2 linked regions of the Oreochromis niloticus genome follow. The protein of the gene in region 1 interacts with the protein of each later gene in a pairwise test. Links are inferred from orthologs where the notes say so. Each region holds a gene or a part of one and is shown on either strand. Other genes may lie near its edges.

The links. The genes of interacting proteins can lie anywhere in the genome.
Region 2: the proteins of rnf41 (region 1) and asb6 interact in binary tests that used the Homo sapiens proteins (3 or more experiments, as listed by UniProt). The link is inferred for Oreochromis niloticus from reciprocal best matches to the Homo sapiens genes RNF41 and ASB6.

The regions. Positions count from the first base shown.
Region 1 is NC_031984.2:9,466,380-9,473,776, forward strand, and holds the start of rnf41 (E3 ubiquitin-protein ligase NRDP1), read left to right. Parts: upstream 1-4,347; 5' UTR 4,348-4,504; intron 4,505-5,300; 5' UTR 5,301-5,383; intron 5,384-6,194; 5' UTR 6,195-6,214; coding exon 6,215-6,304; intron 6,305-6,399; coding exon 6,400-6,671; intron 6,672-6,841; coding exon 6,842-6,977; intron 6,978-7,297; coding exon 7,298-7,397. UniProt on the Homo sapiens protein: Acts as E3 ubiquitin-protein ligase and regulates the degradation of target proteins. Polyubiquitinates MYD88. Negatively regulates MYD88-dependent production of pro-inflammatory cytokines.
Region 2 is NC_031977.2:11,037,871-11,045,915, reverse strand, and holds the start of asb6 (ankyrin repeat and SOCS box protein 6), read right to left. Parts: upstream 3,015-8,045; 5' UTR 2,864-3,014; exon of another isoform or gene 2,808-2,863; intron 2,492-2,807; 5' UTR 2,462-2,491; coding exon 2,352-2,461; intron 2,234-2,351; coding exon 2,058-2,233; intron 1-2,057. UniProt on the Homo sapiens protein: Probable substrate-recognition component of a SCF-like ECS (Elongin-Cullin-SOCS-box protein) E3 ubiquitin-protein ligase complex which mediates the ubiquitination and subsequent proteasomal degradation of target proteins.

The sequences.
Region 1 (7,397 bases):
CTGTTTTGTGTTATTTTATTTTGAGTGGCTTATTATGGGGTAATGACAAAGGAGCCCTTATCATGAGTGGAAGGACTTTGAATCAGGTCATGTGATGAATTACAATCAAAGAGTTTCACAGTGCACCTTCACAGAAAGTTAAACAAAAAAAAAAAAAGTTGGCTTGTCCACCCAACATTCCAAAGTTGATTTAATTTTCCACAGTCCTGTCCCTCTGATTGAGGAATTTTATTTTATTTTATTTTTTTCCTCTTTGCTGGTGAATGAAGTGGGCATGTGTGTCAACGACAGGGTTCCCTATTTAGCCTAACGCTGATTACCTCATTTACAAATCTGCAAATATACTATTCTACTGTGTGTAAAGGAGTCAATGCCATCACCAGCAGCGCGGTCTCGAGACCTGTGATGACAACAGGACCAATGAAGTTGAAATTAGTCAATTTTGAAATATGACCAGTCTGGGAATATAGGGTTAAGACACGATTCAGACATTATTATTTTTTTTCTTCTTCTTCCTTTTCTTTTTTTTTTTTTTTTTTTTTTTTTTTGTAAAGATGAATGAGCCTCTTAAGATTTCTTTAACTAGTACATCACCACAGCTGCTACCCCAGTCAATGCAGGAGCTGTCAGAAAGCTGCAGATACTTTTATTGTTTGTTTTTTAAATAGCCAAGTCAATATTCAAAGTTAAAATCAAACACTTGTTAAAACACAGCTCTTCAAACTCCAACTGGACTAGCAGCTGTTGGCACTAGCATGGTTCAGGAAGCCTGGTGTATCACAATTGTTTAAGTGAACGATCACATTAGCTTCACTTGCTGTTTTTTCAGTAGCATTTCTCCTACCTCCTTGTTTTGCAGCCTTGAGTATTGTTAGTCTCTCCACCTGTTCTGACTTAAAAAAAAAAAAAAAAAAAAGTTTATTCACAGTACGGGAATACAGATTTATCATAAGCAATGGTAGTTATACATAAAGTGTGCTTGGTTGTGCTGTATGTGTACTTGTCTATTTGACGTTGGAAAAAAAAATATTTATGAGAAGCATTTATACGACAAAATACCACTGGAATGTGAAGCCAGACAACGTTATGATGCAGATTATGATGATAGTCTATCCCCTTTAACATTCAGTGGCGAATGGTCAGAGGAATCATCTTTTTAAGAAAATGAATAACCATTGGCTTTATATTTTAACAGCATTTATTTCTTTGGTTTCCTCTTATGCATATACTTCCCCCATCTAGCCCTATGGTATACAATATTTCAACGTTTACAGCTTCCTTCTGGGTCAGCCATTGATTTTTATTTTTTTTTTATTTTTTCTCCCCCCCTACAGTTGTAATGATATCACAGGTTGTCACAGGGATGATAGTAAGGTGTATTTGTAAATGTGGATGAGTTTGAGCCCCTCGAGCCGTATGCCTTTGAATCCATCTGTCCACTCTGTACCAAATTCTGCTACACAGGCGTCTTGTTTCCGCACTGCCCCAACATTTTACATCCAGTTTTGAGTACAAAGGGGTACGGGACAAGGGTGAAAGGTTTGAGGTTTTTCAGACCAGGCCCCGCCATCCCACCACCCTCACAACCACCCAACAGCTCACCCATGCCTACTCTAAGACAGGACCAGCCCAACTCCCCCACCCCTCCCCTCCCCTCTCACCCACCGTCTCACCTTTAACCTCAAGCCATTCATTTTTCTGTTTTTGTTTTATTTTAATTTTTTTCGACAATGCAATCCTGAAAGCACTTTGCCTTGTTATTCCTTTGTGTGAACATGTGAATGATAATTTGTTACAGAAATGTTAAATATGTAAAAGATCATTCACTGTTTTGGAAAAACCTGCATCTGTCTTTCTGACGTTAAAAGGAAAAAAAAAACAATTTAGTGACATTAAACCTGAATCTATTTTATAAAATGTTTGCTGCAGCCAATTGGTCTTGTCATTCAGTATTGTGGCTTAGGGTTGTTTGTGTTCAATAAAGTGCTATTGCTAAATATTTCTTGAGTCTGGAGTTATTTATGTTTTTCGTGTGTTGTGTTTTCGCCAGTCTTTCAAACTAGGAACCTAAGAAAAAAAAAAAAGCTGAGAAGACATTTTAAACCTTTTTGTGTGTGTGTGTGTGTGTGTGTGTGTGTGTGTGTGTGTGTGTATGTGAGAATCTACTTGAGGCTTGAGGTTTCTCAACTCAAATGAGGAACTGACAAAGCAAAGAACTTGACTGTATTTACCACCACTGTTAGCTCACATTTTATAGTAGTATGATGGGAGTGTATTGGACTTTGACCTTTGTGTGTTACTCATAAGGAATTTATATACTTTTTAAAGTGTTTATGTTTTCTGCAAAATACAGTAACAAGCGACATTAAAATATTGATCTGCTGGAGTTTATACCAGATTGAACCACTAGTTTCATAAGAAACTAATGTAATAAAACGAGTGACTTGCATGCAAAAGTAATGTGAATATTGCCATATCTAGCTCTAAGTTTCCTCTAACAGCGAGACTAATTTGAACTCAATTTTATCTTGCTTAAAACCACATAGTTTTATAAGAGTACCAGTGCAGTTCAATGACACCGTGTCAGTGTTGGAGGAGCATGCACTCACACTGTTATAGACGGAGTCATTCATTTCAGTGTCTGCCCCCTTCTGCTAAACCGGATCCACCCACTCTGCATAAAGTGCATTTTCTATCTGGATATTTCTACCTATTTTTTCCCCCCTTCCTGTTTACCTTCTGTCCTAAATATAACATTATGTTCTTTCACTGCATGGCTGAGAAAGAATCGTGTCATATTTGTGTGGCTGTGCTGTGGAAAAGTAATGAGCAACCCTCTGTTTCTTTATGCTTTGCTAGGAAAATGGCAAATGGTTGCAGCAATTCAGCTACATGCACAAACATATCTTGAAATCTGGTATTTTGGCAGATTGCACAACTCCAACAAGATTGAAAATCAATATTTGGTATTCCTAAACGATGCCTGAACTCTCTTAGACACATTTTAGTCTGTAAGTAGTCTTCAGGAATAATTATATAGGCATCTTGAAGGAGATTCAAAGTTCTTCTTTGGATGTTGGCTAATTTGTGTTCTGTTCCCTGTCAAAGTCACCCCCACACTGTTGATGTCTAGGCTCTGGGAAGGTCAGTCCATGATGGATAGTGATCCATTTTGTGTGTATGGTTTTTTGTTTGTTAATCCGGGTATTCTTTAACTTACTTTGCTTTTTGTGGTCATTGTCATGATTATAAATTAAGCCATTCATTGTTTAGTTCTCTCCTGACCTCCTCCAAACATTGAGACAAAAATGTAAAATCTGGATTCATCATCCTCACACCAAACTGGTCATTACAGATGGATCCCCCTCACTGGGACTGGTCCTGCAAGAGGTTTTTTTTCCAGGTAAAGGGAGCTTTTCCTTCCCACTATCACCAACTACTTGGTCACAGGGAATTGGGATGTTGGGGTGACTGCTGGGGTTTTCTTTATTATTACCAAGTGTATACCTTACAATATAAAGCACCTAAAGGCAACTGTTAATGAACTGTAAATAAAATTTAATTTAACTGAACTGAATCACATGTTGCGACTCATTGTCAGTCATGGCATACCTCAGCATTTTCTGTTTTAATTTTTTAAGAATGGCTTCTTGACAGCCACTCTTCCACTGAGACCATTTCTAATGATGCATTTCTGAGGTCCTGTGTCAAGTCTTTGCTGACTTTCAGACACAGTTTTTTTTTAGGCCTTCCACTTCTTTTGTCTTCCAACAGGCTTCTAATAACAAAGTACCTAAAGATGCAATTTAAAATCAGATAAATTAGCAAAATCTTTGCTAATGCGTTATCCAAAGACACAACACTAGTTCATCCCATGACTTTGTTGCTTTTTAATGCTTGAATGATTCATTCAAGTACTAAAAAGCTTGTCTAATAGAGTTTAAGAGAGAAAAATGTTTTCATCTGAATATGGTGGATAATAGGAATGGACTGAAAATGAATGAATAAAACAGCCAATGTCCCAAAAAAATCTTTGAAAAATCATCCAGAAAACCTAAAGACGTATTGTTGAAGACAACTTTAAAAATATAAGAAGATCAAAATGGAAGATTTTGCTTCCTGGAAGGAAATTATAAAGAAATGAGAGGTAAATCAAGTCTTTTGCAGATTACTGTATGTATTTGTGCCATATTTGTCTTTAAAAATGAAACCATCACGGAAAAAAATTAACTGGTAGTTCTAGTCAGATTTGTGTAAATGTGTATTATAATATGGTCTGTAAATGAATGAAGATAGAAAGATGAATATATATAGAGAGAGAAAGTTAAAGGACCAATCAAACGAACGTTGTAGCAGTACGTCATGACGTCGCCGCTCGCTTGCGTCTCAATGACGCTGAAGTGTAGGATGTAGCACAGGACGTGGCTATCAAGCTCCTAGCTACACTGGGACGTCTGAAAAAACACAGAATTCGTCATAAAGAACTAGTTTAATACACGCTTAGGTAAGTATATCTGTTAGTTATGGTATTTTCTTCTAGAGTGTGTAATTGTAAACGGATATTTCTCTGTGTAATACTCCTAGACTGAGCTCTGTCTGGTTAGCTTGATGCTAATATCCAGGGAAAACCAACGGTACCGTATTTGCTAAAAGGGATGGTTAGTGGAATAGCGATAGCTACATGTAATTCGTGACTAGAGAGGGGTGCTTATATCTGAGCATTGTTGTGCTTTTTGTGCGATGACCCCAGTTTCTTTAATTATAAACCCCAAATAACAGGGGCAAAGTACAGCGTTGTCAACGAAATATCTTTCACATAGCTAACGTTAGCAATGCTAATGTTTGCAGGGCATGTTGAGAGCAATTGGAGAAATGGGGGTCTGTAAATCGCCTACATGTGCCGCTTTCAGTCAAATTGGGTCATCAGCCAGTCAGCTGGAATGACAGGATGTTCTCATTAGGTGCTGTAGGTGACAGTAGGGTTAAATTTACACAACGTTAGGTCAAGGGCATCGAGTCAGGGCTGTGTGCTCAATGTCTTGAGTCATTGTTCCTTTAAATTTTTTTTGATTAAAGCAGAAAACGATGTTCATAAAGATAAAAAAGGTGTGGGATGCTGTTAGGTAAAGAATATAGATTATTGCAAGAAAATTTGAAAACGACTGAGCTCACGTCTTTTTTAATATATCTCCAGATAAATTGCGTCGATCTTGGATTTTGTTCCATGCAAGTGCAATCAATCTAACAATCTCTATGAATGTTATAATTTTTCTTTTTCTTTTTTTTTTAAACTCTTTTAGCAGGGAGGCCATTTTACCAGATGTGACGTATCAGCAAAACATCAGGACCTGAATGGAAACATTTGAGGGCTTTTGTGCGTGAGGTAGGCTTAAAGTATTTGAACTATGTAAAGGATTTAGGCAGATTATTTGGCATTGCTTGGCAAGTAATTTGTCAACACGTCTTGGTAAACTTGTCACTGTTCTTTGAATCTGGGTTTTCTCAACTGCTTTTGATTCTTTATGTAAACTCAGACTGAGCTGATGGTGTTGAGCAGAGTTGTATTATGAAGCAGGTTCAACATATCCAGGTTTTTTTTGCATTAGCTGGCTTTACCAAACCTAAAACTTTATTTGGACATAATGAAGATTTTTATTGATTCTCACACTTGCATAAAAAGGGAATTTGATGCATCACATGACTGCTTTTCAGCATAAAATTGCCAGATCGTGTGATAGGGATCTAGAAAGAACATACAAAAATATAACCTCATTATATTTTAATAATTGTGGCAGTTGCTGACAATTGTAAACCAAAACTCTGAACACGACCTGCTCTGGACCAGGTTAAGAGTTTAACATGAGTTACCATGGTGACCAACTTGACACTGAAAACTCTTGAGTTTTAAGCTTGACATACACTGCTGAACTATTAGTCTCGCTTTGTGGTACACCCCTCAGGGCTAGTTGAGTACCATCTGGTGTTTTTCTTGTCACTAAAAGTGTTTGTTGTTTTTTTTTTTAATCACTTTGGGGTCATTATCATGCACCCAAATAAATTTAGGATCAGTCAGTGCCTCTCTGTTGCATAAGAATGCAAAATACTTAAAATCTTTGTACAGATTAGTATCATCTGTGTACAGTTGTGTCTTTAAGAAGTTAATATGGCTAAAAACCTTTTTGTGTGTTGTTCAGGAGGTTGTGGGTAATGTACCATGGGGTACGACGTTACGAGGTTTCAAGGGGAGGTGGATGAAGACCTGTTGTGTCCAATATGTAGTGGAGTGTTAGAAGAACCAGTGCAGGCAAGTCTCTGATCAAAATACACCCCACCTTTTAATTCTATCTGTTTTTCTGACATTAAATTTGTCTTCTATGCATATGGATTTTTCCACCTCAGGCTCCACACTGTGAACATGCCTTCTGCAATGCCTGTATAACGCAGTGGTTTGCCCAGCAGCAGATTTGTCCTGTTGACCGCACAGTAGTGACGCTGGCTCACCTCCGTCCTGTGCCCCGCATTATGCGCAACATGTTGTCCAAACTTCAGATCAGCTGTGATAATGCGAGCTTTGGTTGCACAGCCACACTGCGGTTGGACCAGCTGCAGTCACATCTCAAGGACTGTGAGCACAACCCCAAAAGGCCTGTCAACTGTGAGGAGGGATGTGGGTAAGTGGATTCCATAGAATAAATCCAAAGCCTTATGTGACATCTATAGAAACACTAAGACAACCATAATAATATTACCATAAATTGTTATAAGAATGTGACCTCCTTTGTATTTTGTAGTATTAAATTTTCTTTTCTTGCTTAATATTCTGTCTTTCTCACTCTTGCAGGCTTGAAATGCCCAAAGATGAGTTGCCCAATCATAACTGTATTAAACACTTGCGGAGCGTTGTCCAGCAGCAGCAAACTAAAATTTCAGAGCTGGAAAAAACTGTAGCAGAACATAAACACCAGCTGGGGGAACAAGTAAGAGTATTTTGCCAACACAATAGTATATTTTTGACAAAATATTAGGTCTAGTCTTGATAAAATATTAACAGTTGTCTGTCTGTATGATATTTGGCAGAAATAATTTGAGTGCCATGTCTTTGTGGTATAAGACACAGATGCATGCCTGTTATACGTGCTTGATGGACGTGCAATAACAATGGTCTCCTCATTCTTATTGCACTTTTTTTTTGGTGTGGACATGCATCTATTTGGGCTTTTTAAATGGGCAGTTGCAGATTTTGTACTTGAGGCAGTTTTGAGAGGTTTTCATTCACTCTATTGCTTTTCATTTCCAGAAACGAGACATTCAGCTGCTAAAAGCCTACATGAGAGCAATTCGCAGTGCAAACCCGAACTTGCAAAACCTTGAGGAGAGCATCGAGTACAATGAGATAC
Region 2 (8,045 bases), on another chromosome or scaffold:
CTCATTATGCATGTGTTACTTGTTACGTGTAGAAGAATGGCAGTGGTCTCATGTTTGTATAAGTCATTAAACGTAATCTGTAATGAACTATCCCAGGAAGGAATGAGATGAATATTAGAAAGCCAAAAACAGTATTCAGCACTTTGAATATCATTTGCGACAGCTTGCAAAATTTCAGTTGCAAGAAACAAATGTGCTATTGGGCCGGGGGGGGCTGGCCACCCCCCAAAATTTGCGTATTTGTTTTTCATATTCACCCATTTTCAGGGATAACAACTTTAATAGCAGGAAATTACGTAGGCATATAATTCTTTTCTTTATCTCTTTTTTGCCATATTTTTCAAGTATCCAATATTTAACAACAGCATAATAAAAAAAAACGGGAAATTGTGTTTAGTGTGCCACCCATATGGCCATTCCTATGAAAGAATTTTTAAGGCGTCCCTGTCATTAATAACGTGATACAAATATGTTTGAAGGCAAATAACTGGCTATAGTTCATTGCCTAACAAACATTTCTGTTGCTTACCGGCACATTGGGAGTGTTGGATTTGGTTATTTTGTGTCAGCAACCAAATCAGTAGCACAGAAATGACACACACACTTTTTTTTCCCCAGGCTTTTGAAAACAGAAGGTAAACTATCCAGAGCAGTGGAGACTGCTGCAAAAATGCAGTTCTGCCAGCATCGTGACCTGGAGCTTGAACCACAGAGGCTGCTGCTAATGACATCTGCCATCTCCTAGTGATGTCCCTTCCTGCAGTCTGGGCCTACATCAGCTCACTTATGATGCTTGAACACACATCTTAGTAATACGCTCACTGACAAAAGACTGAGCGGACCTGAATCTGATGTTCTGAAGTACACGTATCATGATATGACATATCATGATCACTGAATGACACAGGAAATCATTCCTGCCCATGGCCATCTCCCTATACAACTCCTCCATCTAATACACTGTAAACACTGCAACAGTTACATTCTTTTTGCACACGCTCTTTCTACTCTGTAATATTCCTGTCAACATTTGTGATATTTATTTATAATCACCTCTGTCAATCCTTGATTTTTATTATTTAGTGATTTGTATATATTGTGCTATTTCTTAAATCCGTAACATACCGTATTGTTAAATAGTCTAGTCTGTTTCTGTTATTTATACTGGAGCAACTGTAACCCATATAATTTCCTTAGGGATTAATAAAGTATACCGATTCTGATTCTGATATTGGAACTGCTGCGGAAAATTTTGCTAGAATGGCAAGACACTGAATGAACTTTAAACTGCCAAGAAAACTATTCCAATTTGTTTTCTCATCCTACAGATTTTGTATTGTAGCAGCTTGCTTGCTCTTGTTGGTACATACGCTTGATTAGAGCCGGACCAACATAGGATTTTTAAGACCGATATTGATATATGATGATTTATGGTGACAACGCACTCATTGTTGTGTCTGTAGTGCTCTAAAAATGAAGTTGCAGAGTGCCCTCTGGTGGATAAGTGATTCAAAATCAACAATCACATCTTGGTTGAAGAGTGTTTCTTTCTCTGCTTTTTTAAATTTTTATTTATCAGCTATCATTATTGGCAATAAAGATACATGTGCAAATAGCCAACATCGGGCTTGTGTTTACTATCGTACTGTCTTTGTGCCAGTGAATGTGGAATCCTGTTTAAATGCACAATTCTCTAGCCTATAGCCAGCATAGATGTTATGATATTTTTGGGTAACCAGAATTTCACTGTGGTATGGGTGCTGGTAAAGTTGGGTTTTCGGGGAAAAAAAGCCATGAATCAGTCTCTTTCTGCCTTGCTCATTAAGTTGCATGTTGCTAAAATGCATGAGCAACTGTCACTTAAATGTTGTATGAACCAGACTGGCAACAAGACTGGCAACAAGACTACTGGATCATAGGAGGAAAAAAAATGACATTAAGCACAGTCATAAAATGATCTCTCTCTTTCTTTGGCAAGGTTTAATAAACAAATGTGTATACAGTGTCAAGTTAAAAACATTCACATTATCTAAAACACACCCCAAACTGTTACTAACCTTCAAAGTTGAGATCAGCTCCGTAGCGTAGGAGGATTTTTGCTGGCTGCACCAGACCCCGCTCTGCCATTTTGAACAAGGCATAGCTGATCCCCTCCACAAACACCTCTGACTGGGATTCTTGCTCCAGAAGCTCCACCAGAGACCTAGAAATTGCGGATTCTTCCTCAGAACTCCTGACAGGAGGAGAAAGAAGCACCTTATATGTAATGTTTTGTGTGTTATCTGATACACAATTAATTACGGCAGTGTAGCACTGCCAAAAGAGGACTGTAACCGAATAGCCAGGTTTACCTTTCCTCGCCAATGTCATCTCGTTCTTCCAGTCCAATAACACACATGACAGCATCTACCAGCGGCTGATACTCATAAATTATCCTGCGAAATCCATGGAGGAAAGGCATGGCTCTGCCTCGGTGATCCTAGGTTAGCTCCTAAAAGCATAAAAGAAATGCTGTGTGCTGAGGGTGTGTCAGTCTAACAGAGAACGCAACGCAGATATCAAAGTTTATCTCCTGAGTACAGCTGACAAAAGTATTCATATCGTGGGTGACACGTCACAGTAACAGGCTAACGCAGTGGTTTTAAAATCCTTCATATAAAATAATATTTACTCCTAATACCGATTAGTTAGCTGGACCCGTGCAGTTAACGTTAGCTGACCGTTTGTCTAACATACGCTAACCGCAACGACAGTTATGTTATAAAAATGGCGACAAAAGTGTCGCAGTCAATGACAGCATGACTTACCAAATGTATCACTTCTTAACTTGCTAAATTATAAATAAATGTCTTAGCGAAATTACTTTTATAAGAGAGGAAAGTCACTCAGAGCAGACTCCCTTCAAAACAGGAAGCTTTCCTCACGCCAGCATCCGTCCGACGCTGTTTTCATTCCCATTTAAAATACAAGCCTAAACAAGGTTCCTCTTTCGAGTCCGTGTCCTTCAATCAAAAATGAGTAACTAAGCAAACACACTGCACCACTTCAGTTATTGAAACATAGACATTTATTGAGAATTTAAATGCCAAATAGTGATTTCGGGTATTTAAAGGTTAATTAGTGTATAATCAGGCCTTCCCGCAATCTGAGGCGTTTTCATTATAATCAATTATAACTACATAGGAGCAGGCGCTGGTTTCTGGAAACCATCCATCTTTAATACAGCTGCAGACACGGACATGGCTTTTCCACCTAATAGCTTTTTATGTATGTGGCTAAAGATCAACCACATACATAGTATGTCTTATAAGTCACTTTTAAGTCACTTTTAATTTGATAATCACAAACTGTGTGATTTCAAACTGTGTATGATTATTTAACATTTATATTTTGCACATCTCCTCATTTATAATTTCCTCATCTCCTTATTACTGTCATTGTTTCTTCCACCATGCACCCTCATTTTTAATTCATCCTTTTCCTCCTCACCTCAAGCCTCATCTCCTGATATGGTTGCAATTACTTATTGTCAGCAGATTAGACATGCAACCCACCTGTCTCAGGACAAGCTGACTAAACAGTAAGAACAGCTGGTTAGCAATGTTCGAGCTATGGTTAGGCTTGAGTGTACTAAAAATCACAACTTTCCCTCTTATTATTAACAGCTTGATTAAATACTGACAGCATATAATCACTATAGATGTAACTGTAGCAAGTATTAAGCACTTGAACTTTGAGGGGTAAGAAAACAGAATTCAGTTGACTGCGGTCTCCAACATACTGACATCTATTGGTGATGATTTACACATTGTAGCTTTAAGTAAAATGCTTTTGTTGTTGACTTATGATCTGTCAAATATATTTTTCAAGAATGATATTGAGTTATTTTGTGGTAGAAATAACATTCCTGTCACAGGTAGAAACTGTAGATTTTTTTATGCCAATTTATCCGGTGTTATTGACATTAAAAATATCCTTTTCAAAAGGTATCTCGTGAAGAGGGCAACAAATACAACCAGTTACCACCAGTGGTATAAAACAATCAGCAAGTGCAAAAAATAAAAACATACAAGTATGACTGTAAGGAAGTCTGCTGGAAAACTAACAGAGATATTGGAAGGGAAAGACAGGCTGCTCAGTCCTAAAGAGAAAACTCTTGCAACAGCAGCCATTGTGACTGAAGCAGAACTTCCAAGAGGGACCTTCTTACTTTGGGTCAATATTAGCAACAATTTTTAATTAACTGTAACGGATCCAAAAATGTTTTTGTATCCCGGTGACTATTGTAATTATTTTGAATAATTCTTCAAAACTTTAGGGTCACTGCCAAGTAATGAGACTTTAAAAGTACCTCGTCTATGAGCTCTGATAAGCCACAGGCTCGGTTTTTGATTGTAGATTTAATTGATTGCAGCATGATGTTGATTTCTATTATCATTATTATTATTGTTATTTTCAATTATGGCTCCAAGTAGAATCAAAATGAGGATAAAGCATGCTGTGTTTTAGTGCAGACCTACCTTGTGATTGACAAGCCTGTATCATACGGACATGCACCTTCCTGCCATTTCTCAGTCAGTTAAACCCCTGCTTTTTAAAACAACGCTGGCAGTGCCCAAAATGCTCAGTTCATTAATTAATGAGTGATGGTGCATGGTGACTGTGTACACTTTTTTTATATGCACCCTTAAGACTCTGATAATAAACTTTAACTTTAGCAAAGGTTTACTTAGAAAGCTGCACAATTTCCTTTTTTTAACTCCTTTCCAAACAGACAATACTATTGGGAAAGATTCCAGGATTTTCCTCAAACATGTGTGTCCAGTTCAGTCTATTTGTTTATTATTTTATGTCACAAATCAGTCTTTGTTTCTGATGGTAACTGTCATGTATTTATCAAACCATACCAACTTCCATCCAACGATCAAGTGCCTGATTAGCATTAGCATATGTTTCCTTTGATATTCTTACTGACCAACATAATATTTCTCCCACCAACACGAGCAGTTCTAAAACACTTTCTTTTGTCCATATGGCACATTACTCCAGGACAGCAGCTTTCGCATTTGTGACAATTTCTCCATTATGCCGACAGCATCTGGTTGTTAACAGTTGCCTTCGTCCTGTTTAGCAAACAACCTCCTGCTGAGTCGGAGTTTGTTGACAGATGGCTCACTTTGAGAACCACAGAGGAAAGCCTTCTCTCTCACAGGATGTCATTTTTAGCGCATGTGTTTGTGTGTCTGACTTTAAACATCACCCGTCCCAACGACTGCACGTATGTTAATCCAGTTTTTGTTGCTGACACACTGTCTCAAACCATTACAAAATGGTGCAAAAAATGCTGAGGAAGACAAATTAGCTATACAAGCATATTCTTTTTGTAGTTTTAAATAAAAACAAACAAACAGGGAAAGTAAATATTTTTGATTAATATGTTAAAATTAATGAACAAATACACAGCTAAAAAAAATTAAATGAACAGTTTGAAATCACATTAGATCTCAGTGGGAAACAAATCATGCTGGATAGCTACACTGACATTGACTGGGTAGTCTGTTAGCGTTTGAGGGAAATGAAAATGATCAACCTACAGAGGGCTGAACTCAAACACAACCCAAAAAAAACCCAAAGCGAAAATTTCATTTTGCTGAATTTCATTGCAGCAACTCAAAATGGTACTCAGTAGTTTTTATGGCCCTCACATGCTTGGCAACATCTGAGCATGCTTCTAAAGAGATTGTGGATTGTGTCCTGGGGGATCTCCTCCCAGATCTGGACCAGATCATCACTGAGCTCCTGAACAGTCTGAGGTTCAACCTGGCAGTGTCAGACGGACCAGAGTATGAGAGGTGTTGTATGAGAGGTGTGACGGCCAGTCAGTGGTATCAGTTCCTTCATCCTCCAGAATATGCCTGCATACTCTTGTCACATGAGTCTGGGCATTGTCATGCACCAGGAGGAACCCAAGGCGCACTGCACCAATGCAGGGTCTGACAATGAGCCCAATCATGCTGAACGATGTCACAGGCAGCATAATGCTTTCCACAGCTTTTCCAGACCCTTACACATCTGTCACATGTGCTTAGGATGACACCGGTGGACCCGCCAGCTGGGCACCAGAGTTCCAGAAAGTGAGCACAGGGCCCACCAGAGGATGTTGAGATCTCAGGCCAACCTACATAAAGTCTGTTTCTGATTGTCTGGTAAGAGACATTCATAACACCGGACTTTTGGAGGTCATTTTGTAGCTTTGGCAGTGCTCTTCCTGCTCCTCCTTGCACAAAGCAGCACATACCGCTCCTGTTGATGGGTTAAGGACCTTCTATGACCCTGTCCAGCGCTCCCAGAGTAATAGCCTGTCTCCTGGAATATTCTCCACGCTCTCAATACTGTGCTGGGAGACACAGCAAACATTCTGGCAGTGGCATGTATTGATGTGCCACCCTGGAGGAGTTGGACCTCTGTAGGGTCCAGGTATCACCTTGTGTTATCAATAGTGACACTGATCCTCACCAAATGCAAAATTAGTGAAAAAACAGGCAGAAAAGATGAGAAGAGAAAAAATGTCCCTGACATCATCAGTAAAACTACTCATTTTTGGGGGGATGGTTCATTGTTGTCCTTCTAGTGCACCTGGTATTAATTTCATTAACACTAAAGCGGCTGAAACTGATTAACAACCCCCTATGCTACTTAACTGCCCAGATCAATATCCCAGCAGTTTAACTGACTCAATGCTTTACTCTGATTAAAAAGCGGTCCTTTCATTTTTTGAGCATTGTACATAACTCAAGGGTGACTTTATTATTTTGAAGATGTTTAGGTTTAGAGTACTGTTTGATTGCTGTCTAAATAACTGTTGATACAAATTCTGCCTTTAGGTGGCAGCAGAGCAGCATCGGCACACAAACTGCACCCTAGACCTGTTATTATACATCACATGCATGAGTGAATGGTTTTAAATGCGCATGAAAGCAAACACAACCTATCATGTAGATGTGGACTTGAGCAGAATCTCAAACAAGCATCACAGGGAGACTCTCTCCGGCATCCGGCGGGCTTGTCCTCTAGAGCGGAAACAGAATGCAATAGTTTAATCAAAGTTTGATTAATTCTAATTTTGTCACTTTCAAGACAATTACTGTTTTCACATCCAAGTAACCCGATCAATAAGGCGTTGTTCCCTGAACGGATGGCAGCCTGTTCATAATCTCTCTAATGAGGGTGAAGTCTCTTTTGCTGTTTTCCAGCCACACTTAATTTACTCTGGATTTTCAAGGCGTGCGCTCATGAATAAACTTCCTTTTACCTTTCCTTTCACAAAACTGCCGCTGACAAGTTAAGTCTTTGTGCGCACACCTGTCAGAGCTCCCCGGCGAAGCAGACAAGCTATTTTTCCAACTCTCACCATGTGGTCACGGGAGCATACTGCTTCTTGTTAGACGACAGTACAGGCAGGTGGCACAACGCACATCACGCATTAGACCGTGAAAAAAAAGCGTTTTTCAAACGCAGGACCCCCCTCCCAGGTATCAGGCTCAGCATTAATGCATGTTCTTGAGGAAGTTTACAAACCTCACTACGGCACCACCGATGTCACTGTTGTTCTCAAAGCACGGCATGTCAGGTCCCCACAGGTATCAACACATGACACTTGAAATAGCTTTAGGAGAACAGCTCTGAGCCACTTTCACAAGAACGCCGTAGGAGAAAAAATGAATTTGCAAAACACTCATTCACAGTGATACAGTCATTTAAGCACCCACGGTCCCGTGTGTGATGAAACGCCTCAGTGGGATTCCAGGTACTGAAGAGTAATGATCGTAGTTAAGAGCAAAGCTTTGTCAAAAATATCATCCTTTGTGCTGTTTGTCCTTTTCTTGACGTCTAATTTTGAGCTGGATTGGAGGGCGTGAGGCAAACCGGGAGGAAGAAAAGAGGGGAGATAACTGCAGTTCCATTCCTATACGAGTAAATTGGCTCTATATTAAATTTTGGCCTCATCTATCAAAACAAAGAACGGTATCGAAATTACTTTGTTG